4 linked regions of the Notamacropus eugenii genome follow. The protein of the gene in region 4 binds, or shares a complex with, the protein of the main gene of each other region. Links are inferred from orthologs where the notes say so. Each region holds a gene or a part of one and is shown on either strand. Other genes may lie near its edges.

Evidence for each region.
Region 1: SNRNP200 (region 4) and CWC15 share a complex: the UniProt entries of both Homo sapiens proteins name them as parts of the minor spliceosome. The link is inferred for Notamacropus eugenii from reciprocal best matches to the Homo sapiens genes SNRNP200 and CWC15.
Region 2: SNRNP200 (region 4) and SNRPD3 share a complex: the UniProt entries of both Homo sapiens proteins name them as parts of the U4/U6-U5 tri-snRNP complex. The link is inferred for Notamacropus eugenii from reciprocal best matches to the Homo sapiens genes SNRNP200 and SNRPD3.
Region 3: SNRNP200 (region 4) and SNRPD2 share a complex: the UniProt entries of both Homo sapiens proteins name them as parts of the U4/U6-U5 tri-snRNP complex. The link is inferred for Notamacropus eugenii from reciprocal best matches to the Homo sapiens genes SNRNP200 and SNRPD2.

Annotation. Positions count from the first base shown.
Region 1 is NC_092876.1:163,313,040-163,320,551, reverse strand, and holds the start of CWC15 (spliceosome-associated protein CWC15 homolog), read right to left. Parts: upstream 3,011-7,512; 5' UTR 2,329-3,010; intron 1,408-2,328; 5' UTR 1,400-1,407; coding exon 1,269-1,399; intron 1-1,268. UniProt on the Homo sapiens protein: Involved in pre-mRNA splicing as component of the spliceosome. Component of the PRP19-CDC5L complex that forms an integral part of the spliceosome and is required for activating pre-mRNA splicing.
Region 2 is NC_092875.1:1,748,496-1,755,815, reverse strand, and holds the start of SNRPD3 (small nuclear ribonucleoprotein Sm D3), read right to left. Parts: upstream 3,017-7,320; 5' UTR 2,810-3,016; intron 2,191-2,809; 5' UTR 2,173-2,190; coding exon 2,047-2,172; intron 1-2,046. Other genes in the region: protein GUCD1, read left to right, coding at 3,301-3,337, 3,792-3,876, 4,469-4,637, 4,784-4,875. UniProt on the Homo sapiens protein: Plays a role in pre-mRNA splicing as a core component of the spliceosomal U1, U2, U4 and U5 small nuclear ribonucleoproteins (snRNPs), the building blocks of the spliceosome.
Region 3 is NW_027325105.1:194,632-202,637, reverse strand, and holds the start of SNRPD2 (small nuclear ribonucleoprotein Sm D2), read left to right. Parts: upstream 1-5,005; 5' UTR 5,006-5,249; coding exon 5,250-5,251; intron 5,252-7,524; coding exon 7,525-7,704; intron 7,705-7,834; coding exon 7,835-8,006. Other genes in the region: QPCTL (glutaminyl-peptide cyclotransferase-like protein), read left to right, coding at 2,881-3,056. UniProt on the Homo sapiens protein: Plays a role in pre-mRNA splicing as a core component of the spliceosomal U1, U2, U4 and U5 small nuclear ribonucleoproteins (snRNPs), the building blocks of the spliceosome.
Region 4 is NC_092872.1:606,974,468-606,981,383, reverse strand, and holds the start of SNRNP200 (U5 small nuclear ribonucleoprotein 200 kDa helicase), read left to right. Parts: upstream 1-3,900; 5' UTR 3,901-4,938; coding exon 4,939-4,983; intron 4,984-5,609; coding exon 5,610-5,773; intron 5,774-6,916. UniProt on the Homo sapiens protein: Catalyzes the ATP-dependent unwinding of U4/U6 RNA duplices, an essential step in the assembly of a catalytically active spliceosome. Plays a role in pre-mRNA splicing as a core component of precatalytic, catalytic and postcatalytic spliceosomal complexes.

The sequences.
Region 1 (7,512 bases), on a different chromosome or scaffold from region 4:
AATCCCTCTAGAGGTTATCCATTTTCAGTTTTACTGAACAAAACTAATGGCATTGACTATAGTGCCCAGTGAAGTAATGTCTGCTTGGTCTAAAAATATTTCTGTAGCTTTTAGACTTGATTATTATGTGCTTTAAGAATGTTTATCAATCTCTGTCCTTCTTGGAGAGGCAGCATGAATCTCTTTCTATAGCTACCTTACAGTGATGGATCCTATGTTTCATTAACATTGTAGAGGATGTGTTAGGATACTTTTCAAACCTGTTACGACCATTTCGAAGTTCCAGAAGTGTATATTAAGACTGGCACTGAGTAGGTATTAATTGCTCTTAATGTATTATTCTGATTCTACTTTAATTTCATGATTCCAGCAAGTCTCAACATGGTCACATCTGTCTCCTTGATTATCTTTTATGCTCAACACATCTTGCTTTGAGAAAACTAAAGCATTAGTAGGTGTCACCTTTATACTTGACCTCTGGATTCAATCTGAATCTAGCTTTTCTTGGCATACACTCATTGTATTTAAATGACTATTATCTTATTCATCTCATTTATGGAGTTTAGACAGTAATGATTATTTTTTTATTGTAGAGTATAGAAAAGGGTAAAGCAAGTAATATGAGATGGGGAGTGAATATATTTGAATGCCTGAAACTCAAATTACAAGCCAGGGTATTAGCACAAAGACATTATAGGTAAGAGATTCATATGGGTGCTTAAAAACCCATTACAATACTTCAAGGTCTAAATGCATGTGTGAGGTACTTGGGATACCTGGAGTCTGATTTTTGATCAGTAAGTAATCAGGAGTATAATGATGAAAATAAAGTTCAAAATCAAAAAAGTTCTTGCTACTACTGGTAGGATGGACTAAATGCAAGGACACTAATTAAATATGCTTGAATTTACGTACAGTGTCAAGTCAGGCCATGTTTAGCAGGAAAGAAAAACTTAATCTCAATTAGATATGAGGACCATAAAAAACACAATCTCATGGCACAGAAGAGTTTTATGATCATCATGTCTGTGCGTTGACACAGACATAGTTGTGTTTATGTGCCTGTGTACCCAACACTAAAAAAAAATTTTCATTATACATTAAAGAATGAAATTTATGTCAATGTTCATATTTTATTGCTAATTCTCTGGTAACTGACATATATAGCAACACCCTATTATCCAGAAGAGGTCGTTACAGAACCCCATACAAAATTTCTTCTGCCTTTTAAGAAAAACTCTCTACAAGAAACATTTAGTCATTATTACCTGTATTTAATTTTCGTATGAGAAGGTAGATCTCTGCTTGAATACTGCTTTGAAAGCTGACTCAAATCCCCTTCCCCTTTCCCTCTTCCACCTCTTGCAGGTTCAAATGTAGGCCTTGCCGCTGTGGTCATCTTCGAGGCTTCATGGATATACAATTATATTCAGTCACATGTCCATACTTAAGAAAATTATTAGTTTTAAAAACAGTTAAAATCCTATGCAAAAGAGCTTTCAAAATTCATTTAACTGAACGCATCACCACCATCCCCTTTTCTGTAACTTTTTCTATCTGTACCTTTATTGAAAGACCATAAACATCACCACGGCACGTAGACTGTGAGAACACCCTCGCCCCCCAAACAATGACCTACCATAGCAAATTACAAGTCCTGGGAAGGTGAGGAAGCGATCATTCTTAGGGCCACAAGCCTTGGCAAGTAGTACTGGCTTTCTCATCTCCATCAGACTCAGGGAGGCAGGCAGGGCTGCGCAAGGTCTCCGGCCTCACCTTCTGGGTCGAGGGGCCAGATACGGCTCAGGACGGCCTGCGGTGGCCCAGAAGGCCGTGGGGCACCTAGGGTCTTTTTGGGTTTTTTTCTATTTTTAAAGTTTATTGCCCCAAATGAGCATGCAGCTCATAACGATGTGGCACGAATTGGTTATGTTTTCTTTTGTAAATTCTAACTTTCCAGCCAAGGTCTCCATGTTCCAGACGTCAACAATACAAAAGAAGATACCCCAGAGTCGGCCCTCAAGAGGCTTACGCAGTAATGGGGGGTGAGGGCGGCAGGGCCCCCGGTAACTAATGCAAAAGGGAGACTCGGGGAAGTACCACCGGAAATCCGAGGAGACCCGGGGACGGACAGCAAAGGCGAAAGCGCCAGCAGCATCCCGAGCCCGGGCCTTCCCTTCACACCCGACCCCGGGGCCCTAGAACCCGTGCGGCTTGGCTTCTCCCTTCAGCTCTCCTGCCTCTCCACATCTCCCAGCCCCACTGCTCCCCAAAAAACTCTTTTTTTCCCCGTGAGCTAAAGAGAGAGAGGTCTCTGGAATCACTTACTTCAGGTCCCACGGCCCTCCGATATTATGCCAGCACCATTACTCCTCCACCTTCCCACAACTCTCCGCGCCGGGACCCCCAAAGAGCATAGAGTTTGAAAACAACTCGACTCTCTTTTACCGGAAAAGAAAAACAAGGTGGCGGAGACGCGCTTAACGGAAGGCGTCATATGACCAAAGCCAACAGCCAATCGTCGGGGAGAAAGGCCGCCGACGGGGCGGGAATAGAAGCGGAAGTCGCTAGGACGCCCGGGAGAGGCAAGCCAGAGCCCGCCCTTTCCGGTTAACTGTAGGTCGGCTGGCCAACAGTCATTCATCCAGTTCTTTGCTAGGCTCTTTCTTCCTCACACTCTTCTCTCCAAAGGCTTCTTCCCTTCCACCTCGCCCCAGCTCTCTTTGTCCTTGCCCTGCGCGGAGCCAGACGGAAGGAAGCCATGACTTGTGGACGGCGCCGCCCTCGTGTGGCCGCCAGGGGTCGACTATGAGTCCCTTGGCCTGCCTGAGGGGGACGCGGCTCCCCAGGCCTGGGCCGCCCGTTTTCTCCCTATGCAGCCGGACCGATACTTTTTTGACAAACAAAAGAGCTTCCCTGAACCCGAGGAGAGAGCCGTCGAAGGTGTCTCTGGGGAGACGGAAAAGGAGGTGGGCGAGTCGTGTGTCACTGCTTGACCCCTTAGGTGCCCCTTTGGTATCCGGGCAACGACTGGGAAACTAGAAGCCCCCTGCCCCTGGCCTCCCCATCTGCCTTAAGTCCGCGGACCAGGGCCAGAGCCCGGCCGGATGAGAGGCTTTGGAATGGGCTGTGATGAGGATGCCTGAAGGGCAGGGGAGAGAGCTGCCCAAGTCCGGGGGAGAAGATACCCAGGGCCGTAGGTTTCTTGAGTCCCTCGTGTCGCTCTTGTAAATACATTACCCTGTAAATAGAACTGAATTCATAAACAGATCCCCGCGTTTAGCGCGGAGCACTGATCTAATAATAAGTAATTTTTAAAAATCAGAGAAGAGGCCGTGTAGTACAGAGGTGTCAGACACAGGTTGCTTGTGGGTCTGCCACACTCCCAGAACCAGATTACTATGTAATTGGGAAGGAGCGAACAAAATAAAAATATAATAAAACGGTTAAAATTACATTTTAAAGCTAAGTCAATATATAGTGGCAGGGGTTTTTGCGTGTGGATTAGTATTGCCCGTTTTTTTCAGTTTGACACCACTGGAGTGGACCAGAGGAGCAGGCGGTGAGGCCAAAAAACCCTGACTCTGACACATAGTGACTTAAGGGGCACATTGTCGAACCCTCTCAATGCTCCAGCAACGCTTAAAGCAGCAGAGGAGATGTTGATTTGCACTAGGGGAGAGATTTCCCCAACCAGACACAGGGTTTCCCATCCAGGGGTGGGGAACCTGCAGCCTCAAGGCAGCATGTGGCCTTCTAGGTCCTTGACTGAGTCCAAATTTTATGGAACAAATCCTTTTATTAAGGGGATTTGTTCTGGGAAGTTTGGATTCAGTCAAAGGGCTGCACTTGAAGACCTAGAGGGTCAAATGTGACCTGGAGGCCACATGTTCCCCACCCCTGCCAGCCCAAATCAGATAATAAGGTTAGAGATAACCTGGAGTAGTGGAAGAGTTCAAAGACAAGAATGAAAAAGAGTTGGGTGCAAGTCCTGCCCCTGGCACATTGGCTTTTAAGCCTGGGCACATCATGCAACCTCTATGTGCCTAAAGAGAATTCCTTAGGATTGACATTCTAAGCAAAAATTTGAAGGTTCCTTTGGTAGAACCTGCTTCTGTTGAAGGAGTACCTACACAGGCATAAAGTGACAGATAACTGTAGCTTTTGTCACGGATCCATGGATATTTCAACTTCAAAAAGACTAGAAGCTAGTGGTTTAAGCAATGTCTTGAGCAGTGCTCATTTTGGAAGGGAGAAGTGATCAGGAACCCAGAGATTCCCAGTGTTTTTTACACTTGGTTTTATGAGATTTCTTATTTCTTATATTGCTACATTTAGAAATCATTTGTTAAAGAATGTGAACTAAGATAAAATCTTAGACATCTTTCTCTACAGATAAGGAAATTAGCAAAGATGAGAATTCAGCACTTCTAACACCGTTTTTATTCCAACTATATTATCATTACTGTGGTACACCAACTTTGAAATTTCTTAATTCTTATTCAGTGTTACACAAGGAAAAGTTGAGAATGAAAACTCAGAAATCTAGAAAATGTGAAGTAAATGAGAAAAGGAATGCAGCAAAGGGCCAATAAGGGCACCTGCTCAACTAGATGGGTTCTAACCATGTTTATCCTTACTTTGATTTTGGGTCCTTGATAGGTATTGAATTTCCTTTTTTAGAATGTGGAGACTCCTCTTAGGGACTTGACAGCTTGGGAGCATTGATTAGGAAGGATATCTTCATTTGAATAACTTGTTGACCTAGACACATTTTATTAAGGGAATGATTAAGGAATTATTTGAGTGAGTCAGCTTATTATGGACTTGAGCCGTATCTCCATATTGGATCTTTGAAAGGGTAGGATTGGTAGGATTCAGTCAGAAAAATCCTGAGGAGATGTGAAAGTAGGCTTTCGTCCCTGACATCCTGAGCACTGGCAGGTATCCTGGGGGATCCCTTCCTGCTCCAGCACCAGAGATGGTAGGCCAGAGAAAATGGAGGGGAGGGGGAACAATGGTGGAGTCAAGGATCTGTAAGAGTTACTGAATTAGGCCTGGAGTCAGGAAGACCAGACTTCAGGTCTGGCTTCCAGCACTGACTACTTGTGTGATCCTGGGAAAGTCATTTCACCTCTTTTTGCATCAGTTTCTTTACCTGCAAAATGGAGATGATAATAGCACTTACATCTCAGGGTTGTTAAGAAGATCAAATGAGATGATGATTTTAAAGCCCTTGGCAGAGGGCTTGGCACATAGTAAGTGCTATATAAATGTTAGCTATCATTATCATTAAAGTCAAAAAGACAGCTCAAGGCCTGCCTCTGGCATATTCTAGCCGTATGACCATGGAAGAGTTAGGCAACTAACCATCTTAAGTCTGTTAATTAGGAAACAACTGCTTTGGTAGAGGGAATTTCCTCGCCTGGAATTCCCTACACAGATTTGGAGACTATCCCTACATAATTACATGTTCGTAATGATTGTAATTTTAAAACTGAAAAAGAATCTTAGAGACTACTGAGTCCAACCCCCTGACTTTTTAGATGGGGAAACTGAGGTCCAGAGAGTACAGTGACATACCCATGTCCTCTGACTTCAAATCTAGTGCTCTTCCTCAAGCACTATACCTGCCCTGCTGTGTGCCTTTTCATTGCCCTTTGATTAATCCTTAAATTTAGTTCTTTGAAGACTGTAGTGTCACAGCCATATGTCATTACCAGAAGAATATTCATGCTATAAAATATGATCCTTTTTTCTTTTTGTGATGTTGAAAAATGTTCAAGAGACATAGTTCCTGGGAAATTTAATCATGTTATTACTAAGAACAGCAGGTTACTAATAAAAGGATGGTCATTTGGCTGCCTCTCTTAGACCAAAGACAGCCATGGCAGTGGGGCTCATAGTTTATCTACCCTTCCAATGAGGGGCTCATGTCATCCATCATCACATCACCCTTGGACAGAGAAGACTATTTCTACTCAGACCACCTGCAGCCTTGGGCTATCTAGACAAAAGGATCTGTACCCCCTTCCCCAAGCCTGAGGAGTACACGGTGGACTTCCCCAACCTAGATTAAATTCCTTGCAAGATTGGGTGGGGTCTGATTAAGATCTAGGAGAGTCATTGCAATCTCATTATCAGTAATGTCCTTCAAGAAAACTGAATTTTTTAAAATGAGAAATTTAGAAAAAAGGGAGAGCCTCTGAATCTCCCCTAGATGTTGGTTGTTAATCATTTTTCACACCCTCAGGAAGAAACTTTGCCATTTCCCTAAAAAAATCTAGCTCACTCCACTATTCTTCCACTTCAATTCTGAGCTAAGGTCATTGTCCATTAATAGTGTCTATTTATGATATATATATTTTTTAATGGACAAAGATTTCTCGATTTACTAGTATATGTAAATAGTGGGTGCTAGTATGAAAAGATGTATAGGCAGGGTCCCTGATATGCAAGTTGAAGGCAGAGACCCATAGAATGTCTAGAACCTATCACAGGGCTTTGCAAATAGGTACTACAATAAATGTTTGCTGAATTGACACAATAGAAAAATCACCGAAACTCGGAATGACAGGCAGTTTCAAGGTAATCTTATCCAAGTTGTACCTGAAAATGTGGGTATTCAGCTTTGGCATTAAGAATTTCCAAAGCCAGTGAATCTACCACTTCCAGAGACAGCCCATTCCACCCTGGACAGCTTTGATTTCAAAGAGCTTTTTCCTTACATGAAGTCAGAATCAGCCTCTTTGTAACTTCCATTCACAGTTGTTAGATCTGCCCTTTGAGTTCAACCACCACGAATCAGTACTCATCTTTGTACACCATCCTCTCAATCATGTAGACTTAAAACTTCATTATCTCTGAACCCTGTCTTGTTCCTGCCTCCCCTTTTCTCTTCACTACTTCCCCAGTGACATACTCCTGGAGAACCAGATCAAAACCTACTTTAGATTTTTTTAAGGCTTTATAACAATTTCCATCTACATATTTGTAACAGTAAGCACCCCAACATACACAGGGGGCCTGCTATCACAGGTTCTTAGGTCTGCATTTATAAAAAGAAAGGTGACTTTTGAGGGGTTAACAATCACTTTAATCACATGTATCATTCCTTTAACCAAGGATATATATTATTCACCTAGTTCAGGGGAGTCAGCACCCTGAACTTAAAAGAAAATACAGAGAAATCAAAGATCAATAGACATGGCTTCCTCTGCCTGACCATAATTCAACAGACAAGTCCAGCTGTCTGACCATGGTTACCAGAGAGGGAAGCACTGACATCTGGGTTTTCAAAGCCAGTGGGCTCTTTAGTGGCTTCCCAGAGTCATTGTCTGGCCAAACAAACACTTCCAGTCAGTCAGTCCCAAAGTAAAACCTCAACTCAGAGTATTTATACCTTTTTTAGAGCCAGAGGGTATCACACCCTTTGAGAACCAGTGCCTCATTAACAAAAGGCATGGGCCTTCCCACAGATCTTCCCTAATCAAACTCCCCTTAATGGGCAGA
Region 2 (7,320 bases), on a different chromosome or scaffold from region 4:
GATGATGCTGTCCTCCATGGCTATAGGGGAAGAAGCGGGGAGGAGGACTCGGGGGATGCCTATGAGGCATGACATCCAACTGGAATGAAGCACGGCTAACTGGCGATGGGGACAGAGAGGTCAGAGCTGGAGAAGTGTTCACACTGAGAATGGAAGTCACAGGGGCGGAGCTGGAGGCGATGCCCCTTCCACCTCTGAGTCTCTGCCATGCCAGACATGCCATGCCCCTGGCACACCTCCCAGGAGGCCCTGGGCTCCCTATTCCCTCGCACCCCTTCAGATCCAACATGGTGCTAAAGCCCAACCATTTCACCTTGGTGGCACCCTGCTCCACACCTGGATGGATGGCCTGCCTCAGTCTCCTCTCCAGGACATCATTCAGCCAGCGCAGGTCTGAGCATATCACCCCCACCCTCCTCCTCTATAACCTTCAGGATCAAGCACAAAATGCTGCCTGGCCTTCAAAGCCTTTATAATTAGACGTCTCCTGCCTTTCTTGGTACCTTACACTTTCTCTGCTCCAGGTCACAACATTCCATTTCCCACCTCCGTGCCTTTGAATTCAATGGCTGCCTCATGCCTACAACACCCTCTCTTCTCCCATCTCTGGGAGTTGAATCCCACCTTGTCCAAGAAGCCTAGGTTGGTTCTGGTTCCCCCATCATCCAGAGCTGCTTACCTGTTGTCTCATCCCTCAGACTGGGAGCTCCCCAGGGGAGGGGCAGGGTCTGCCCTTTTCTCCCCAGCACTGATTTTGCCTGGAGTGCGGCACAGAAATGCTTACTGAGTGCCTGCCTGCCCACCAGCTCTCCCTTCCACTTCTATCCCCAAGACAGCTGGCTCTGAGCTCGGCTGTCCAGCCTCCACACCTGCCAGCACGGGCCATCCAGCCCCGTCCCTGCAACCTCAGGGCAGCCTTCCCATGAGGCTTCTCTCCAGCCTCTATGACCTCCTTCTCTGGGAAGCCTTCCCTGCATCCTCCCACTGGGAGGCCTCAGACGCCGGGTGGGTGACCCTGGGCAATGGCCAGGCTCCTCAACCATAGACTGGGATCCTAACAGAGCCTGCCCCAGGCCTGTCTGGACCTCAAAGGAGACAATTAACACCTGCCACAAAATGAATGTCATTAGTTGTTACTGTCATTACTACCAGCGGGGAAACCGCCAAGGCTGCCAGCCTGGCACCTGGCCTGACTCCTATGTCTGTGCTGCCCAGCCCCTCTGGTTCCTGCAGCCTAGGCCGGGCTGCTGACCACACGTGACCTGGGGTGGGTAGGGTCTCTCCCCTCCATGTCCAGCAGCCAGCCTCGGTGCCCACCTGCCCCCCATGTCTGTGCTGCCCGGCCCCTGCACCCTAAGCCGGGCTGCTGACCACACGTGACCTGGGGTGGGTAGGGGCCCTCCCCTCCGTGCCCAGCGGGCTGCCTCCACCTGCCCCCCATGTCTGCGCTGCCCGACCCCTCTGTGCCCAGCGGCCAGCCTCGGTGCCTGCCTGACCTCCATGTCTGCGCTGCCTGGCCCCTCCGTGCCCAGCGGCCAGCCTCGGTGCCCGCCTGCCCCCCATGTCTGCACCATCCGGCCCCTCCGTGCCCAGCGGCCAGCCTCGGTGCCCGCCTGCCCCCCATGTCTGCACCATCCGGCCCCTCCGTGCCCAGCGGCCAGCCTCGGTGCCCGCCTGCCCCCCATGTCTGCACCATCCGGCCCCTCCGTGCCCAGCAGCCAGGCTCGGTGCCCGCCTGACCTCCATGTCTGCGCTGCCCGGCCCCTCCGTGCCCAGCGGCCAGCCTCGGTGCCCGCCTGACCCCCATGTCTGCGCTGCCCCGCTCCTCCGTGCCCAGCGGCCAGCCTCGGTGCCCGCCTGCCCCGTATGTCTGCGCTGCCTGGCCCCTCCATGCCCAGCGGCCAGCCTCGGTGCCCGCCTGCCCCGCATGTCTGCGCTGCCTGGCCCCTCCATGCCCAGCGGCCAGCCTCAGTGCCCGCCTGCCCCCCATATCTGCGCTGCCCCGCCCCTCCGTGCCCAGCCGCCGCGCTCGGCGCCACGCCGTACCTGGCAGTTCATGTTGTCCTCCGCCTCGATCAGCTTGCCCCGGTACACCTCCCCGGTGTTGGTCTCGCAGGTGACGATGTGCCCCTCCGCCTCATGCAGGACCTTGATGGGCACACCGATCGACATTCTGGCGACAGCGAGAACCTGCGGGGCCCAGCGGGACACGTGAGGCACTGGAGCCCAGCCCCCCAGGACCCAACCGGGCAGCGACAGCCCGGAAACCCTGCGCCAGGCCCGGGTCCGAGTGAAGGAGAAGACAATGGGGGTCCTCCTCCTACCCTGGGGAGGAACAAGCATTTAGGCGGCACCTACTGAATGTCCGGCGCTGCACCGAGTAAGCGCCTCGCAGATGGGGGGCGCTGTTATTAGAGCTCGGCACGCAGCTGGGAGGTGTACTTGGGGGGAGGGGCTCCGGGTGCAGGAAGGCCTGGGGGGGGCACTGAGGCAGGCTGCCGCCCCGCCGCTGGTGTCCAGGTGGGGGGGACAAATTCCGAATCAGGGCTGGGGGAAACAGGGAGTGGGGATGGGGCTCCGCCCCCAGCCTGGAGACCCCCCCCTGCGCCCTCCTTCCCGGGGCCCAGGGCATCCCTGGAGGAGGCTGAGGGAGGCCCTGCCAGAGAAAGGCGCGGGGGCGGGAGGCATGGCCTTGAACGCCGAGCCAGAGCCCCTCGCCCACGCGCTACTCTCCCCCCGTTCCCGCCCCCCCCCCCGGTTCCCATTCCCCCCGCCCCGGGTCGCGCGGACCCCTCGGCCCAGGCCTCACCTGCAGCCCCCGCCCCGGCTCCGGTTCCGGCGGCGCGAACGTGCGACAAACAGCGGCAACTGAATGGCGGGTCTCGCGGTCCCAGCATGCACCGGGCCCGGAAGCGGGGTGGGCACTTCCGGGGATCGCTCCGCCCCTAGACAGCCCGGTGGGAGCGGGAGAAGAGACTCTAGAGGCTTACAGGGGCGGGGCCTGAGGGCGGGGCCCATGGCGCGTGCTCGAGAAAGGGGCGGGAAATGGAGGATGGGGGCGTGGCCTGGGTTCGGCCTCTGCGCCTTGCGTGCCGCGTCGGTGGCGCGCTGTGCGTGCGCTAGCGCATGCGCCGTGAGAGATTTCGCGTCCTCCCGGGAGCGGCCGTGGCGGCGGTGGGGCCGGAGAGGGGTTGAGGAACCGAGGCGGGGGCCGAGATCCCGGGCAGAAGCGGATCGGGCCGGGGCCATGGCCAAGGCGCCTCCACAGCCCGAGCCCCGGCCCGTCCGCCCGCAGGCGGCATGAGGGAAGAGGCCGAGGGAGCCGGGGCCGAGCCCGGTGAGGGCAGCCGGGGAGTCTGAGGCACGGGCAGGGGGAAAGGGAAGGGTTATGGAGTCAGCCCGTTCTGACAGCTGGGGAGGCTGAGGCACGGCCCAGGGAGTCCGCTTACGGGGTCCTAGATCGGTCTCCCAGCGGGGGATACTGAGGCACGGCCCAGGGGTCCATGTACGGGGTCCTAGCCCGCCCTGACCAAGACTGAGGGGCACGGAATTAGCATCTCCTGGATGCCCAGCCTGGGACTCTGCGGGAGATCCGGAGGCCAAAGGCCCGGGTCCCCTAGGGCGGAGGAGCCCCAGGACTGGCCAGGGCGGGGACGGAATTTGAACTTCGGCCGGGGCGAAGGCTCCCAGGGCGGAGCCAGCACATTGGGAGGGGCGGGGCGGGGTCACTGCTGGACCATGGGGGGAGGGCCCCAACCCCGCCCTCCTCCGATGCTAGTCCTCTGTCCCAGGCGACTTCGTGCAACTGAAGGTGCCCATCGTGCAGCAGCTGTACCACTGGGACTGCGGGCTGGCCTGCTCCAGGATGGTGCTCAGGTGAGGCGGGGCCCGGGCTGGTGACCCCTCCTCTGACCTCCGGGATTGGCCGCTGGCCCACCCGGCACGTCCCTGTCCCCGCCCCTTCCGCGCTTGGGGTTTGGGAGGTGCACCACTCGGGCCCGCCCCAGTCCCTCCCTCAACTCGGTGATTGGTCGGTGTTCCCTTCGGCCCCTCCCCTGTCCTTTCAGAGCTCGGTAATTGACCCCCTGCGGGTCCCTGTCTTCTGTCTCTTTCCCCGCTCCCGTAGTTCGGGGATTAGTCGGCCCCACTCGGCCCCGCCCCAGTACTGTGATTGGCCGGTGACCCACCCGCGCCTCCATCTCTTTCCTCCCCCCTCAGGCCCCGCCTTCCCCCGCTCCCTGAGCTCGGTGATTGGCCGATGGTCCACCGTGCCCCGCCCTCAGCTCAGTGATTGGCCGATGCCTCCCCTCTGCTCCTTCCCCAGCCTTCCCTCAGAGCTCGGTAATTGCCTGGCGTCTTCTCCCTTCCCCCGCTCGGGGATTGGCTGCTACCCTGCCCGGGCCCGCCCCAGTCCCTCCCTCAGCTCGATGATTGGCCAGTGGCCCACCCGCGCACTCCCCCGCCCCAGGTACCTGAAGCTCCTGGAGGACGACGCTGCCTTCGAGCAGGCGCTGCAGGAGCTGCAGCTCACCCGGAGCATCTGGACCATCGACCTGGCCTACCTGATGCGCCACTTCGGGGCGCGCCACCGGTTCTGCACGCGGACGCTGGGCGTGGACAAGGGCTACCGGAACCAGGTGTGGGGGAGCCCCGCTGTCCCGGCTGGGAAGGGGGCCTGTGCAGGGGGGAGAGGGGGATCCCAGGCTGGCGCTGTTACCCTCCCTGCCCGGGCCGTGCCTAGGTCAGTGGCCACCGCGGCCTAAACGCCGTCTTCTCCGCTCAGTCCTTCTACAGGAGACACTTCGACGCCGAGGAGAGCCGGGTCAACCAGCTGTTCGCCCGGGCCTCGTCCTGCAAGGTGTTGGTGGAGAAGTGGTGAGACCCCTCCCCTGCCCCCGGGCACCCCTGAGTCTGATCCCTGCCAGGGCCCAGAGAGAGGGTGGCGGCTGGGCTTCAGGTCCTGCTGCGTGCGCTCCTTGACAGTGTCCATGCTCTCCCTGCTCTAACTCCCGTGGTTGGAAAGTGTTTATCCAAGAGTAGCCTTGATGCTGATTTTACACATGGGGAAACTGAGGCTTAGCGAGGCCACGCAGGTAGTAAGGGACAGGCTCAGCTCACAGCCTCAGCCCACCCTCCTGGGCACCTCAGCACACATGTGGCAAAGCTGGCACTGCCGACAGCCCCCATCTCCCACGGACAGCTCTGGTGCCATTCCGCCCTATCTTCCCAGCTCAGCCTTGAGAGCTCTGCCCTGAGCCCTCCGTGGATCCGCAGCTCAAGGCCCTTCTCACCCCAGCTTGCCCAGACCTGACCCCGAGGCCCCAGCTGAGTCCCACCCCGAGTACCTGATGCCCCCAGGGCACTGCTGCTCCCAGGAACCTCACTGGTATCATAGTAGTTGTTCTTGGATCTCTTCTCTGCCCCAGTCTTCCCCAGACCTATTACCTTCCTCGTTTCTCATAGCTCAGTACTGCTCCATCATAGCTACAGCCCAGATTGACCAGACATTTCCTGGTTGATGGGCCTTGCCTCAGTTTCCAATTCTCTGCTCCCACAGGAAGAGCTATTATTGATATTTCTCCTCTTGCTTTGGTCTCCTTGGGGTAGATATCTAGGAGTGATACCAGTGTTTCCTGCCTCTAGATTCTTCCAACCCCTCCCACATGGCTCATCTTTGGTCAGCTTTGCCCATCTGATGGGGCTGAGACAGATCCTTGGCGCTGGCTGGTTGGCATTTCTCCAATAAGCAGAGATTCAGAGTCTTTCTTCACATGGCTCTTAATGACTTAGATTCTTCTATTGAAAAGTGACCATTTATCGATTGGAGAAGGGTTCTCAATGCTCCCTATGTCATCTTAGAAATGACACTTTATCAGAGAAACTCACTGGGAAGGTTTCCCTTCATCTTGCTGCTTGTCTTTTGGGCCCTTTGGGTCACTGAGCCTTGTCTGCCCACCGGGCAACCTCTGTGGCAGAGCTAGCCCTTCCAGGACCCTCCCTCCCTCCCTTGTTCTCTGTCACTGCCATTGTCATGACCATGACTTTTGTCCTCATTCCGCCAGACCCTGTTAAGGCCATCCTTGGAGCTCAAATCCCTTCCTGGCTGTCAGGAGCCTCTGAGGTCACGGGGGAGCTTATCAAACCTAAGACCCCGCCACCCATGCTGCTATTATTTCATCTTGTCTGCCCCCTCCCCACCTTCTGTCCTCCACTGGGCATCTGTGTCTTGGTCCAGACCATCGATGTCAGATCCCTGGGGCACTCCACTGGAGACCTCTTTCCACATTTTCATCAAAGGTCCATGACTGACCAACCTATCAGCCAGTTCTGAATTCATTTCATTGTATTCTTTAGTCCATGTGGGTCCACTAATGGCACCATTGAGAACAGAACCTGGGCCTGGAGCCAGGAAGAATCCACTTCCTGAGTCTGGCCTCAGACACTTACTAGCTGAGCGACCCTGGACAGGTCACTTCATCCTGTTTACCTCGGTTTCCTCATCTGTTGAATGAGCTAAAGAAGGAAATGGCAAATGTTCCAGCATCTCAGCCAAGAAAACCCCAAGTGGGATCAAGGAGAGTCAGAAGTGACTGAGTGACCAAAAAGTTCACATCTCTACCTTTTGCCCAAAACTAGCATGAGATTCTTTATCAAAAACTTCACCCAGCCCTAGGCAAGTTGTGTGCACTGGCAGCGGTTCCTAGCCCTTCACAAAAGGCTGGCAGGTTAGGTGCCCCTTTGGGGAGCTTGGCCAAAATCAGCTTTTCATCTTTGCCTTCCTGTTGGCGGCATTTCCTTTGCCTCCCTCCTTTCCTCCTCCCTCGGAGTCAAACCCTGAAGAGAAGAATGGGGAGCAGGGGTGAGCCTGTCCCTGGATGCCATGGCCTTTCTCTGGGGGAGGTGACTGATGGACCCAGCAGCCTTTGCCCATCTGTCTCTTCCTTCCTCATCCATTGCCCAGAGGCCATTTGATTTTCCTCAACAGTTCTGATCATACACCTTCTTTGTCAAATGCCACCCTCCTGAAATCCACTCTCTGAGCTCCTGCCTGACTCCAGGGCCCTCCAGATTTCTTTCTTAGAGGCCTTCCTTCTGCTCTTATCCTCTTCCTTCACCCATGAGAACTAGAAGTGGTCTCCTGCCCTCTCCCAAGGCTGGCATCCCAGCTGCTTCTAGAGAGCCATCTTCTCTAGTTTCACTTAGCCGTTCTATCCCTCAGTGCATTGTACAGTGGGAAGACCACTCCTCGAAGGGAGGCCAGAGGCAGGCAGAACTCTCCCTGTCTGAGTACACCGGCACATTCCCTTCCGTCTGTCCATT
Region 3 (8,006 bases), on a different chromosome or scaffold from region 4:
TCATTTGAAGCAATGGAATAGCAGCTGGTGGGCCCATGAGCTGGACCTCCAGGGAGGGGAAGGAGTCCATTCACTGGAGAGCTGGCGGCTCACTGGTCATGATGCTGGACTTCAGAGTCAGGAAGCCCTGAATTCAAATCCTGACTCAAACACTTACTCTTGGTGTGACCCTGGGAAAGTCGTTGGACTTCTCTGGGCCTCAGTGTCCTCATCTGTAAAGTGCTGATGATAATGTCCTCACATGAAAACCCTCCATTTCATCCCCTGCCCTGACTGGGGATCACAGCAGGTGATATGTACAAATGTAGAGTGATATGTAACTCTCCTGTATTAAGCACCTACTGTGTGCACCTAGCTTAGAACTGGCACTTGCTAAGTACTTAAGAGATCTTTTTGATGCACAGACAGCTCATTTGGTCCTCTTTACAGCCCAGCTGTTTACTCACCCCCGTTTATATGTGAGGAAACTGACACCCAGAGAGTTTTGACTGAACAATTCCCACCATCCTAGCTCACAGAAGCATCTATAATAGGCACAGTTTCTCTCAGGTACCTAAGGAGGAATCAGCCAATTCCCTACTACACTGACCTCCCAGTGGTCTTTGGCTACAGAGGGCAGGGCTCCTGCTGCCCCTTGGTGCACAGTCAACTGGGCATCCGTGTAGCCCAACAGCCTTGGACCCCTGAGCTGAGCTTATCCCAGGAGGTGAGATGCTCACAGGCTACAAAGGCATGGCTGAGCCTGCTCTTCCCTGGGGAGAAGCCCAGAGTCCCCTCCAGGTCAGGAAGGCATCAGCTGTGGACATAGTGTCCCCTTTGTGACAGGCTCCTTAGAGAGGAGGGCAGTCTCTATCCAACACCTGAAATGTGCTCATCCATGAGCCTCAGGACCATCTTGTAAGAGGTCCAACAGATAATATTGTCTCCATCTCACAGAGAAAGAAACTGAGGGTCAGAATGGTTCAAGGACCTGCCCATGATCACCCAGCTGACCTTCAAAGACCACCACTCTAGTTTAGACCCCGTGTGATCACGGTGCTACAACAGTCTCCTCCTTGGTTTCCCTGATTTCTCTTTCTCCCCTCTCTGGTCCATCCTACGCCCAGCTGCCAAAACCATCATCACTCCCTTGTTTAAGAAACTTCCCTGGCTCCCTATTACCCCCATCTCTAGCTTGCCTTTCCAGGCTCATTTCCCCTTTTTCCCTGTTCATATATTTTTCTTTTCCAGTCACACTGGCCTTTTGCCATTCTCTGACTGTGGACTTCAGTTTTCAATCTCTGTGCCTCTTTGCCTGGGAGGCTCTCGACTTCCTTCCAAGCTTAGCTCATCTGGGGTTAATTCCTCTCCAAAACTCAACATTCTGCAGCACTTTAAGGCTTGCAGACTTTTTCGGATTCACTGTCTCATTGGGTCCTACAAAAGAACCCTGGGAGACAGGTACTACTGTGCTTCCCATTTTGCAGATGAGGAAGCTGAGGTCCAGAAAGTGTCTGCTGTGGGATTTGAACCCAGGCTTTCAGTGCTCCCTTCCTCCTCCTCCTTAAAGGTCCTGAATGATATGTCTATTTTAGCATGTTGTCACACACAGTGTGAGCTCTGAGGGCAGGACTCAGTTTCCATTTTTGTCTTTGTACTGTCAGCACAGAGGGCCTTAATAAATGCTTGTTGGGTTGGCGTGGAAGTGTCCAAGGCAGCATCTGAGCCTACACTGCCTCTCCCTAGCAGGTGCAACATGACATGGTGGGGGCCTTCGGCACTTGCGCAGGATAACATGTTTTTATTATTAAAGCTATCTCATTATTTTTCTCATTCTTTTAACACTGGCAGTCTGAGCCCAGCAGACAGGGTAACTCTCCTGAATGGTACAGCTAGGAAAAGAGGATGCATCCTGTCCCATGCTGAGGCAGGCAGTCATCTCCTTTACTTTCTCCAGGGCTCTTGAACATCTGCCTCCCATGCTTCTGGGTCCCTCCTCTAGACCTGGCAATGTCCCCTCTAACATGCTCCTGGCATCCTAGCCCACCCAGCCCTGGGGAGGGGCATGTCTTCCCCCTTCATCACTCACAGCTTTCTACATCCTGGCTTCTAGTGTAACATGAGACAATAAGGCTGATGGTCTCGATGGGTCTTTCTAGTTGTAGATCTGTAACCTCTGTGATTCAGGACTCTGAAACGTCTCCCCCTCATGGCTGCCCGCATCCTTCCCACTGCCTTCCTCCTCCTAAACCTATTCCTCAGCATGAACATCAGTTCCACCACCTTCCCCAATCATCACTCCCCCCTTCTTGGCTTCCCTTTCTTCCTTTTCCTCTCTTCACAATCTTGACCAGATCTAAAGTAAACTGATTCGCCTCTATACTGTCCTGTACCTTTTGATCTTGTGTCTGATGTGTTGTATACCAGGCACCGTGCTAAGCACCAGGGACACAGAAAGGCCAAAGGTGGTCTCCATATTTGGGGAGCTTCCCGAGCCCAACCCTGGGTTTGCCCACCACCTGCCTTCTCTGCTTCTTCTCACAGGGGCTGCCTAAAGCCACCTCCAATTCACAAGTCTCCCGGGCCCTCCCCCATCACCCCCCAAGCTTTCCACCTCCCCCATTGTCACCCATCACGATGAACTCCCTCTTCTCCCTAATCCCCTCCACAGCCCCCCCATTCTCTACATTTCCAAGCCCCCAAACTGCCCTGCCCCCTTTTCAGTCTCTCTCACCTCCTTCCCTGTGACCTTCATGACCTTCATGCATTATGTCAGGACATTGTCCCACACCTCACATCTCAACAGGAAAGCTGCCTTCGCTGTCTTTGCCCCCACTGCAGTACCTCCTGGTGGCACACTCTCAACCCTTTTGCAAAGCTAACTTCAATCCCACTTCCCAGGGGACACCAATTTCTCCAGGATTCCAGTGACCTCTCTTTCGCGGGTCTTCACAAGACCACCTTATCCTGGTTCTCCATCTGAGCCCCCCACAATCCCCTCTGCTGAATCATCGGCACCACTGACAAGGCCCCTGCCCCTGCCCTTGCTCCTCTCTAGACCAGGGATGTGCCTTTGACAATCTGGTGAAACCTGTGGACTCCTCAGACTCGTGTTTTAAATGCATAAACTAAAAATACATAAGATTATGAAGGAAATCAATTATACTGAAGACGTCTTCTAAATGTTCTTTAAAAACACAAGTTCACCGTCCCCTTGTTAAGAGTGCCTCTTCTAGACTCTCTTGCTAACCTCCTCCACCTCAGCCTAGAGATAACCCCCCTGTGCCAGCCCAGCCCTTGGCCCCCTCCAGAGCTCCTTGCCAGCCAGGCCCTGGGTGCATCCATTCAATGTGTGTGGTCAACAGGCCCCCCATGGATCTCATTTCCCTTCCCAAATCCCCCCATACATGTTCTTAATGTCTACTTCTGTCGATGGCCAAGCAATTGCCCACACTATTTTCCCAGCCCAGATGCCAAGGCTTGTGGGTTCTACCTGCACAGTGTCCCATCTGTGTCCTTCCTCCCCTCCTAGGATGGCCCGCTCAGGCCCTCCCCAGCTCTCAAGAGGCTTCTGGCTGCCTCTCCTGCTCCCACCCCCACCCCCACCCCCACCCCCAGCTGCCCCAGGAGTCTTCTCCTCTGCTGAAGCAGCTTCAATGGCCCCCTAGCTCTTCCAGAGTCAAATAGGAAGGCCTCAGCTTGGCTGTTAGAACCCTTCCCAGTCTGAGCATCCCTCTGACGTCCCATTCCACTTTCCAAGACTGGCAGGCCTTGCCTCCATGTCCTAAGATCTCAAGCTCTGGACAGAGCCGGCCCAGCTCAGCCTCTAGGTCTCCCCTCCAACCTGAGGCCCTTCCCAGCCCTCTGGGGTCTGTGTCCAAATCACATTGCATTCCTCCTTTCACATGCTGTAACCTTCCCAGCAGCACATGAGCTCCTCCGAGCCAGGGGCGGCAGTAATGTACATGGTAGGTGCTCAATAGATGCTGATCAAACTAAACAATTCCAGTCACACTGGCCTCTAGCTTCCCTCCAGACTCAGCTCAAGGGCTGGGCCTACTTGTTAGAACTCTCCCCCAGTCCTGGGAAATAACTTGGCGCTGACTCTACATGCAGGGAATATGAGTTAACATTTAGACGGCCACTACTGTGCACCAGGCACTGTGTACAGCACTCTACACTTCCCCCTGGGAGGCATTATCACCCCCATTTTGCAGATGAGGAAATGGAGGCAGGAAGAGACTTCTCCAGAGTCACACAGCTACTCAGTGTCTGAGGTCACATTTGAACTCAGGTCTTGCCAACACCATGGCCAAGGCTGTCACCCCTGCTCCGCCAACTGAACAGATTCTTGCCTGGCAGCTGATGAAGCGTGGAACTTGTGTGTGATGGACTGTCTGCTTGGGCCGAAGTGTCGGGGCAGGATGGCCCTGAATCACAGATTAGCTCTCCTCCTCTAACATGCTGAAAAGGAGGCCTGGAGAAGCGGGTCCGAGGCAGGCTGGAACCCAGGCTCTCTGCCCACTGTACCCCCTGAGGAGGGCCGTGCATGACCAAACACGGCCGGGCCTTGGGAGGCGGGGAGGCCTCAGAGAGGCTGGATGGTGGCTTCTCAGAGGTGCCCAAAGACGGCCGGTCCACTGCCTATCCCCAGCCCAAGGCAAAGCGATGAGGGGGCACCACCACGTACAGAGCCCTGGGCCCGGAGTCAAGATCCGAGTTCCAGGCCAGCCTCAGGCGCTTACTAGCTGCGGCTTCACAAGGGTAAACTGAGGCCCGGGGAGGGCCCGCGGTCACGCGGGAGGCGGAAGGTGGCAGGGGCGGAATTAGAACCCGGGTCGGGCGCTACCTCACGGCCACCACGGGGAGGGCGGGAGCAGAAGGCTTGCTCTTCCCCTAACCCCTAAGCTGGAGCTGAAACGCGTCCTCGGGAGCCCTCCCTGGGACGTGGGCACCGAGGACTCCGCCCCCTGAACTAGAGACGGGATCCCGGGTCGCTATGACAACGCGCCTGCGCCAACCTTTCCCTCGCGAGTCTTTCCGGACTCATCGCGCATGCGCCGAGCGCTCCTTCCTTAGCATCTTCCGTTACACAACCGTCTCTCAGCCCGGAACCGGAAGTGCCTCTCTCCTCTCGCTTCGCCTCGCTGCGCTCCTTTACACCGGAACCGGAAGGTATTCGGGGCGGCAGAGACAGCGGAGCCAGAGCGCAGAGGCAGCCGCAGCGCGAGGAAGGCAGGACTACAAAGGAGCGAAGGGCCACCGCTACCATGTGAGCGGCAATCCGCCCCTCGACCGAACACGGGGATGCCATCCGGGAAGGGGGCGCGGCCGGGGCCACGAGGGGGCGGAGTCGGGGCTGAGGGCGGGCGAGCTAACGCCCCTACTTGGGGGGAATCGCCTGGGCGACGTTGGCGATTAGAACGCGCGGGGCGCGTGCGGCCGGTGAGCAGGCAGCGCGCGAGCGGCACGTAGTGGGATACAACTGGTGGGAGCGAGGCGCGCGCCGAGCACGTGGAGCCGAAGGCGGCGCGCGCGGCCAATGGGGCCAAGGGGCGGGCTGGGAAGGCGTCAGCGCGGCCAATGGGAAGAGGGGCCGAGCCGGAGAGGGGCGCTGGCGGCCAATGGGGGAAAGGGACGGACCAGTCGAGCCGCTCGAGGGGCCAATGGGAGGAAGGGGGTGGGCTGCGGGCATCTGTGTGTCTCCCTGCGTGTGCCCTGGATCCTGGATTCACGTCCTGCCCTGCTGTGAATTTAGGGAACATTGATTTAATGCCAACAGCTAGGCAGCAGGGCAGGTAGAGAGCAGGGCCTAAAGTCAGGAAGATTTGAGTCAAAATTGGGCCCCAGGCACTAGGCAAGTCACTTCACCCTGTTTGCCTCAGTTTCCTCACCTGTAAAAGGAGCTGGAGCAGGGATGGTGGAACCCCTCCAGCCAGTGTCTGCCAGGCGGCTATTGAACCTCTCCCATTGTTGACCCTCAGAAACCAGTAAGCTTTCACCTCTGTCAGCCCAACATCTGCTTCCTCTGGAGTCAAGTACAGTGAGTCTTAGTCTTTCACTGACCTAGGACAGTCATCCTTTTCCTAACAAAGCCTTTTCTTCTCTAGCTTAAACATCCCTTCATCCAGTTTCTTCTGAGCAGCCTGAGAAAATTCCTTCCTGTTTCCAGAGTCACTGACAGCTAACCTGAAGGAGTCTTGGGAGAAATATTTTTCCGCATACCTTGTGTATATAGTCCAGCCAGACTGGTCTGTCTATTTTCCTAAACAGACATAGTCCTTGTGCTTTCCACCTATGGTACCCTACAGCCATCTTCCTGTAAAAATACTGGCCTTCTCCAAAGGCAGTTTAAAACAGAGTGAGGCACTCTGTTTGGCATCAGGGCCCTTGGCCTTAGACCCTTACTCTGTTTGCCACAGCTGTGTGGTCTCCTAAGCTACTTTTTTTCCCATGATCATTTGCTTTACTAAGTGCTTACTTAGTAGAACAAGCTTAAAGATTATAAAACAAGACAATTCCTGCCCTCAATGAGCTTATGTTCTAATAGAGGTAGGCAGTGTGCATAGGAGTATGGGGAGTTCCTGGGATGGTGAATGGAGCCTTGGGGAAGTGAACTGACAAGGCCTGGGGAGTAATAGTATGAAAATGGATTTAATTATTATTTGGGGGTGAGACGTGGGGCAGAAGAGCAGATGGTAACATGGCCAACGCAGACATAGTGAGCTATGTGATTTTACACAAAGCATCTGGGATAACACAGCCCCTCTCATGGGAGTTCCAAAGCTGAGAGGGAGATCTAGATTCCCTAAGGTTTGTTCTCTGGAGATCTGGTGGTCTAGAATGGTACTTTTTAGGGGAAGGTTCTTCTATTTGCATGAGGTAACGAGTTCCCTGTCACTGGAATTATTTGAACAAAAGCTAGATGGTCCCTTCTCCAATGCTGTTGTAAAAGGTATTCATGCTTGGTTAGTATTTGGACTAAGGTCCCTTTCTCTCAGTATCTTCCAGCCTTAGGTTTCTTTGAGTCTGAAATGGGATGGGATGGGATGGGATGGGATGGGGAGCCTTCCCTGTGGGTAACACCCACTGAACCAGCCACAGTTTTGAGTGGACCCAAGTGGGGCCCTAGCTGGGGAGGTCTGCATGAGTAGAGCATGAATGGAGAATAGCTTGCCAGGTAGAAAGTGATCCAGGTGGCAGAGGAGCTGCCCCACCACCACCAGCAGATGAAAGGGGAGTTTTGCTTTGCAGGGCAGAAGGTTATGGAGGCTCTCTGTCCCTGGCCAGGCCACATAGTGAACTTTGCCATACAGGTCATGTACAGAGCAGATTGGGGTAGAGGGTATGGTTAAGGCAGTTCAGGGACCTTGGTAAAATGGGAGCCTTAAGGGCTTCGGTGAGGGTGAGATGAGGCTCCAAGGACAAAGAGTTCGGTTATCTGGAGAAGCCCAAGTCCTAGGTAGGGAGTTATCAGTGGGCCTGAGCTCGTGCCCAGGGCTTTGGGGGAGTGCCAATGTGTCTGTGTCTGTGCATTGCCCCCAGGAGTCTCCTAAACAAGCCCAAGAGTGAGATGACCCCTGAGGAGCTGCAGAAGCGCGAAGAGGAGGAGTTCAACACCGGGCCCCTGTCAGTGCTCACTCAGTCAGTGAAAAACAACACCCAGGTCCTCATCAACTGTCGCAACAACAAAAAGCTTCTGGGCCGAGTGAAGGCCTTTGACAGGTGGGGGCTGGCTCTCCCTGGTGGCCATTGTGGAGGGTCCTGACTGGGGGCAGGGGGCATGGCAGAAGGGAGGGCGTCAGGGTAGGCTCAGCTGGTTCTTGTGCTCATCCCCTGCCCCTCCTGGTCCTAGGCACTGCAACATGGTCTTGGAGAATGTGAAGGAGATGTGGACAGAGGTGCCCAAAAGCGGCAAAGGCAAGAAAAAGTCCAAACCAGTGAACAAAGATCGTTACATTTCCAAGATGTTCCTGAGGGGGGATTCAGTCATCGTGGTTCTCAGGAACCCACTCATTGCTGGCAAG
Region 4 (6,916 bases):
AGGGAGGGAGAGACACAGAGAAAGAGAGATAGAGAGACAGAGAGAGAGACAGAGTGCACACCATATTGGAGTTCCACAGACTAATAAAGGTACCAGAAATAAAAAACTCAGAAAGTCCATGGATTGGAAAAGAATAGCTGTTTTTAGTCTGAGAGGCTTTGAGTGGCTAGTTCCCTTCTTACATCTCAATATCCCCTTCCCCACCCCCAGTTAAAGCCAAAATTTCTAGTTCCAGGGAAGAAAGGTGAGGATATCCAACTCATATCCTCAGGTGGAGTTGTATTTGTGTCAACTCTACCTGACTGTTAGCTCCTGGGTAGGAGGATACCTATCTTCACTCACAAGCTCCACCTTGTGGTGAGATATATTCTCTCTCAAATCTTTAACTTCCTCCTAGTTACTGGCTCTTAACTTAATGAACTCAAACATGCCCAAGTCTCCCTCCATCCTAAAAACCTTCATGGAACACTACTATTTTCTCAAGATACTACCTTCTATCTCTCATCCCTTTCTTGGTCCAGGTCCAGATCCTCTGTATAAAATGCTGCTTCTACTTCTCTCACCCTAAGCGCTCCACATTACCTGTTTCATCTGTCTTCATGGCCATTGGAACAAATTGCTCTCATCCACACATTCCACCAAAGGAAGTCTTCACATGCTTGGGGTAGACACCCCCCTAACTCACCAATGGGTTTGAGAACCCTTGGTTACCCTCAACCTGGTTTGGCTTGTCTGCCAAAATGGTTTACCAGGGTGTGGCCACTGCATGCTGCAACTTAGAGCCACAGGTGAGAGTTGAGTGGAACAGGTTGACACCAAAGGTGGAAAGAGCCCTGGAAAGGGCTCGGCAGCCATCACACCAAAGGCACTGTTCCTGTAGTGTACTTTACAGGGATATTCACATTGACAATGAGGTTGATGTACTCATTGCCAGAGCTAGCTCAGTATTTGGGAGGCTCCAAAGAAAAGTCTGGGAGAGAAGAGGTATTTGACTACCAAACTGAAGGTCTACAGAGCCGCTGTGCTGACCTCATTGTTGTATGCCTATGAAACATGGAGAGTCTACCAGTGCCATGCCAGGAAACTGAATCACTTCCATTTGAACTGTCTTAGGAAGATTCTGAGGATCACCTGACAGGATAAGGTACCAGACACTGAAGTCCTTGCTTGAGCTGAATTGTCAAGCATTCAAACTATGCTTCAGAGAGCGCAATTCCAATGGGCTGGCCACATTGTTCAAATGCAAAATGTATGCTTGCCAAAAAGACTATTTTATGGAGAACTCACATGGGGCAGGTGATCGCATGGTGTTCAGAAGTGATACAAGGACACTCTCAAGTCTCTCTCAAGAACTTTGAATTTGACTGTGCAACATGGGAGACACTAGCACAGGACCACTCAGCATGGTGTGCCTACATCATAAAGGGTGCTGTGCTCCATGAACAAAGCAGAATTGAGACAGCACAAAATAAACATAGAATGAGCAAATTGGAGCATCCACCCTAAATATTCACATGGACTATCTGTGCCCAACCTGTGGTAGAGCATTCCAAGTTCGCATTTTCTTACAATAACTTAGAGGTGTTCCATTATTAGTCTCTTAGATAAAGATTTAATATTGTTTTTATATCTTCTATTAATCACCTACCATGATTATAGAAATTTGTCATAAAAGGAAAAAGAGGGACATAGCCATAGTAAAGGGGAAAATTCTCCCCTAGCTTGATGTAAATTCCAGGCTAGAGTCATATAGGCCGCCAACTGCATTAATAGAATGTCACAGCCAGGCTCAGAATTAGCCTGGTGGGAAATTTTTCAATTCAAGAGGAAATGTCATACATTCAGGAGAGTCCTACCTTAACTCACATCAAAAGTCACTCTCCTGACTTTTCCCTGAGATAGAACTCCACCAGTGGTAAGTCCCAGATGTCACTCCCATAGGGTAGCTGAAATTATGAATCATTGGCTCAATGACATTTTCTGATTATTATACCTGGAATCAGATTCAGACTACCAATTACAGTCCCATAAGATTCAACTTTAATAGAAAATTTCATTAATCATTGCTTCGGGCTGCATTCAGTTATAATCACTCTCATGTTACTGAGAATAAATATTGTAGACTGACCTCTTAATAAAGACTCTAAGACTACAGACTGTTAAAACTAGGTCAATTCAAGATGTAATTTCAATATATACCACTCCAGGTATAATTTCATAATCACAAATCATCTCACAAACTTTGTAAAAGGATGTTAGTAATACATGAGATCTCATTTTCTCAACAACCATATTCCAGAGTTTCATAGCCTTGTTTGTCTTTCAGTTTTTCAAAGAGGACTGATAGCAACAAAGGCAGAGTTGCATAAAGTCATTAACCACACTCTCTTCCAGAGTCATAGAAGTCCAGTGGTAAGACATAAGTCAAGAAGACTGGGAGTGCCTGGGATGGAGTGGATGGCCTTGGAGTCTTTGATGCCTAAGCTCTAAGCACTCCACAATGCCTACTTCAGCTGTCTTCATGGCCATTGGAACAAGTTATTTTCACTTGCCTGTTTCCGTGGGAGAAGTCTTCACATGTTAGACATCCCTCTAATGCACCAATGGATTTGAGACCTGTCAACCTAGTTTAGGCCATGTGCGGAAACAATTTTACTAATATGTGGCTACTGTGCATACTACAGCTTCTTGAAGACACAGACAGGTGAAGGTGGACACTCAAGATGGATAAACAGCCCTGAAAAGGGCTCAGTAAGTCCTTAAATCAGTAGTGCTACTCCCTCCTGAACAACCCATACACCTGGATTGACTAGAAAACAAAAGCCATTTTAATCAGGCTCTCCCTATTTGTTTTCCCCTTTGATGAAAGAAAAAAGCAAGGATAAGAAATCTGTCCCACTTAGAAGAGGTCCAGTCTAAGCTGGCTAATGAGTAGATAACTTAGGGGCCGGGAATGATCATATTACTTGATCATAGCCCTTTAGGAACTGCTTGGTGAGCTTAAACTGAAACAACTGGGGTCTGACCAAATAGGAAATGGGATGGATTTCAGATTAATATGATACAGAATGATATTAATTTTCCTCAATAGTGACACATGTTTTTTAAGGTGATGTGATCATAGACTGAGAGCTGAAAGGGCTCTTAGAGGCTACTTAATCCAGATTTAAATCCTACAACCCCAAGTCTAGGTTTATTCCTTGTTGGCATTCTATAGGCTATGAAACATATCAGCCCTGGAGCTTCCAGTGTGACTCACCAAGGTCTCTCCTATGCTCTGCATTGATCTACTGAAAGTCTTTTGGAAGCTCACACCACCTCTGGAATATTTTTCCCATTGGAATACCCTCCTACCCTTGCAAGTCTACCTCCCTATTTGGCTGTTTCCTCCCAGATCTTCCATTTTAAAGAGGAGGCCCAGGCCCATCAATCTTTATTCCTCTCCAGGATGTGTTCCTGTTCATTTGCACAGGACTTTCTCTACAAAAGCAACACTTCACTCCTCTTTCCCTTCCCCCTTGTCTTTCTCCATTAGACTATAAACTCCTTGAGGAAGGAGCTTTCTGTCTGTTTATATTTGTACTTCAGGGGCTTGGTGTGGTGCCTGAACACTTAATAAATAACTGAGGGAGCAATGTCCAGGATCCCCCGGGAGAGAGCCATAGCATCTCCATGAGGTGTAGTACAGGTCAGAAAGCTAGCTTGCTTCCTCCCTTCCTTCCACGGCCCAAACTCCACGTGAAGGCTCCTGGGTGATCATCCACAGTAACTGTAGCTCTTTCCCTCCCAGCTGGATTCACTTATTTTTTTCTTTTGCTCATTAAAGGGGACATCCCTGCTTACTTCCTAAAGAGGCCTACTCACTCCTCGGGCCTTCCCTCCCCCTAAGTGAGCACCTGCAGAGACCTAGGCCTAAAGGGCCCCAGGCCTCCCAGTGCATCCTGGGCCGTGGCCAGTCATCCTGGATCCAGACGGCCCAGGGGGGAAGCGAGGCTGGTGAGCTGCACAGCCCTCCCGCCCTCAAATCAAAGTCCAGCGCAAGTCACGTCATCATTTCTCCCGTCATGGTCCTCTGAAAACGAAGGACGAACGCAGATAGAGGACAGTGGAGGCAGGCACAGATACAAAAAGGGCGTCTCCCAGCAAAATCGCTCCAGCGTCATCACCTCCCTGACACGTGACACGCCGCGGGCACTCAGGCCTTTGTGGGCTAACGGGGGGCACACATAGCTTACGAGAATAACAGCCAATAGTTACACAGCTATCCACTTTAGAGAGAAGACTGTCGCAGAGAAGCGGTCACTTGCCCTGGGTCCCGCAGTCATTGTTTTAAGAAATCTAATTTTAATTTTGAGAACATTAAGAACCCGAATTTTAAGAATATTAAGAATTCGAACTGAAGTCTTCCTGATTCCCTATCTAACCATTATGTTGTCCCAGTCATGGCAAAATTGACGATATCGGTCTTGTATAAGGAACGACCCGTTTTATTGATACTTTTATATTTGCCTCTAAGGAGGAAGAAGAGAGAGCAACACTTCACATAGTTCAAACTACTCGGACCTGTCCGCGATTGCTGTTGCACATGCGTACTAGCACGCTGTCGGTCCCGGCGCAAACGAGGCGACCGCGCAGGACGTAACTACCGACAGTAACGTCACGCCGGACGCGCGACTCTCGCGTTGAATAAAAGGAAGCCGGCTTTCTGAGACTTGGGGATTTGTGCACATGCGCATTTCCTTTCCCTCCCCTCAATTGAGGAGGTCGAGTAACCTGGAACCGGAAGTGAGGCGTTTTCAGCTCTTTCCTTCCTTCCTTCCATCGTTGCTTCTATCTAACGTTTCTGTGGTGTGTGCGTAGTACTGGAAGAGTAGATAGAAGGAAAGAAGGGCTTTGAGGAGATAGATTCGACCCCGGGGCACTTGAGCAGGCGCAGCCATGGCGGATGTGACTGCCCGGAGCCTGCAGTATGAGTACAAGGCCGTGAGTGTCGGGCCCGACTCGGCGCGGGGCCGGGGGAGGGGGCGGGAGGAGGGAGGAGTAGAAAGTGGACAGAGGGGTTTAGAGGCGACCACATTCCAAGGAGTCGTGAAGGGCAGCCGCTGAAACAGAGTCCGAGCGCGGAGACCACTAGAGCCCCCCGGGAATCCTGAAGAATGCGCCCGAGAGACCGGGCTGGGAATACGTTGTCTCCCGCCGTCAGGCACCCCTGGTTCATAGACTCCGAGTTGTGTACTTGCTGTGGGTGCTGTTTTCAGGAGGCATCCCCGGGAGTGGGGCATCCTCTTATTACAAGAGTTTGGGCCGCATCTACGTGTATTGTTAGGAAGTGCCCGCTCCTAAGCGCACAACTACGCACTTCATTCTCTCTTTAAGAGATGTTTTACTTATTTTAACATTCATTTTAAAAACTATTTTTGAGTAACAAATTCACTTCCTCCCTATCCTCCCCTCGAAAGGGAAGCATTGCAGTACTCATGTGTACGCGTGAAACCAGGCCCTATTGTCAAGAATTATCATCTAAGTAAGGGGAAACATTTGCAGGAATTGAGTTGCCTGCATTCAGTCCTGCTGTCGTTGTAGCTCTGTTCATATTGTGATTATTCCAGAACTCCAACCTTGTCCTCCAAGCTGACCGTTCTCTGATTGACCGAACACGGCGTGATGAGCCGACAGGGGAGGTCCTTTCACTGGTGGGGAAACTGGAGGGCACTCGAATGGGTGATAAGGCACAAAGGACCAAACCCCAGATGCAGGAGGAGAGAAGAGCCAAGTGAGTATATGGAGAATTCTCTCCTCTTCCTTGAAAATGAAAGTATTGAAGTCCATCCGACATCTGGTTTTCACCTATGTTCTGTTGAAATGCTTGAAGCTTGAGCATAGAACTACTTGACTGGAAATCCCTTTAGGATTTTAGAGATCCTTCTAAACTTAAGGTCACATATGGATACTTTCATAAATGTTGTTTTACGAATGAATGCTGGTACTAAAAGATGTATTAGAGATGTCTACCCTCCTTCATTACACAGAATCAGTTGATAAGCTTTTATTGCCTATTGTAGGACAGGCACTGTTCTGCAGGTGCTGTACCTCTAGCTACTGAAGACCCATAAAAGAAAGTTATTGCCACCAAAGTTCTTGTCAAATGACTTAACAGCTGAAACTGTTATAATTTTATTGGTAGAAATAACATTAAAGAGGAAGCATTAGTTAGGTGCTTTGCTCCTGTACCCAAAAGACCGTGGAACCTTTCTATTTGACTTGAAGCTGAAACTTTTTATGTTTTGTTTCTCTTATCAAAATGAGTTCTTTAAGAGCAAGGACTACCTTTTCTATTTGTATCCCCAGGACTTTATGTAGTACTTCGCACATAGTAAAGCCCTTAATAAATACTACTTAAAATTTACTTACTCATTCACTGGGGACTTAAATTTTAAAAAATAAACTCTACTTAAGTATATATATGAGTATATACAGAATAAATATAAAACTAATAAATAGGAAATAGTTAAATAAAAAGTAGCCTGGGAGGGAAGACAGTGATTAGGAGCTCAGGAAAGGCTTCATGTAGAAAGTGGGACTTGAGCTACATCTTGAAGAAAGAGAAAAATTTTGTGAGGTCAGGAAGGGGTGCATTCTAGGGAGGGGAACAGCAGGTACCAAGGTAGAGACATGCAATGTCTCTTGTGTGAGGAACAGAGAAAAGATGAGTTTGACAGGCTCTCAGAATTCAGAAGAGGGAGTAAAGCCTAGTGAGGTTAAAAAGATAGGTTTAGGCCACTTTGTGAAAGGCTTTAAAAGCTAAACAGAAGTCTTTATGTTTGAAGCTAGAGGCAGTGGGTAACTACTGGAGATGGTTGAGTAGGTGAGTTACATGGTCAGATTTGTGCTGAAGGAAAATCACCTTTCCAGCAGT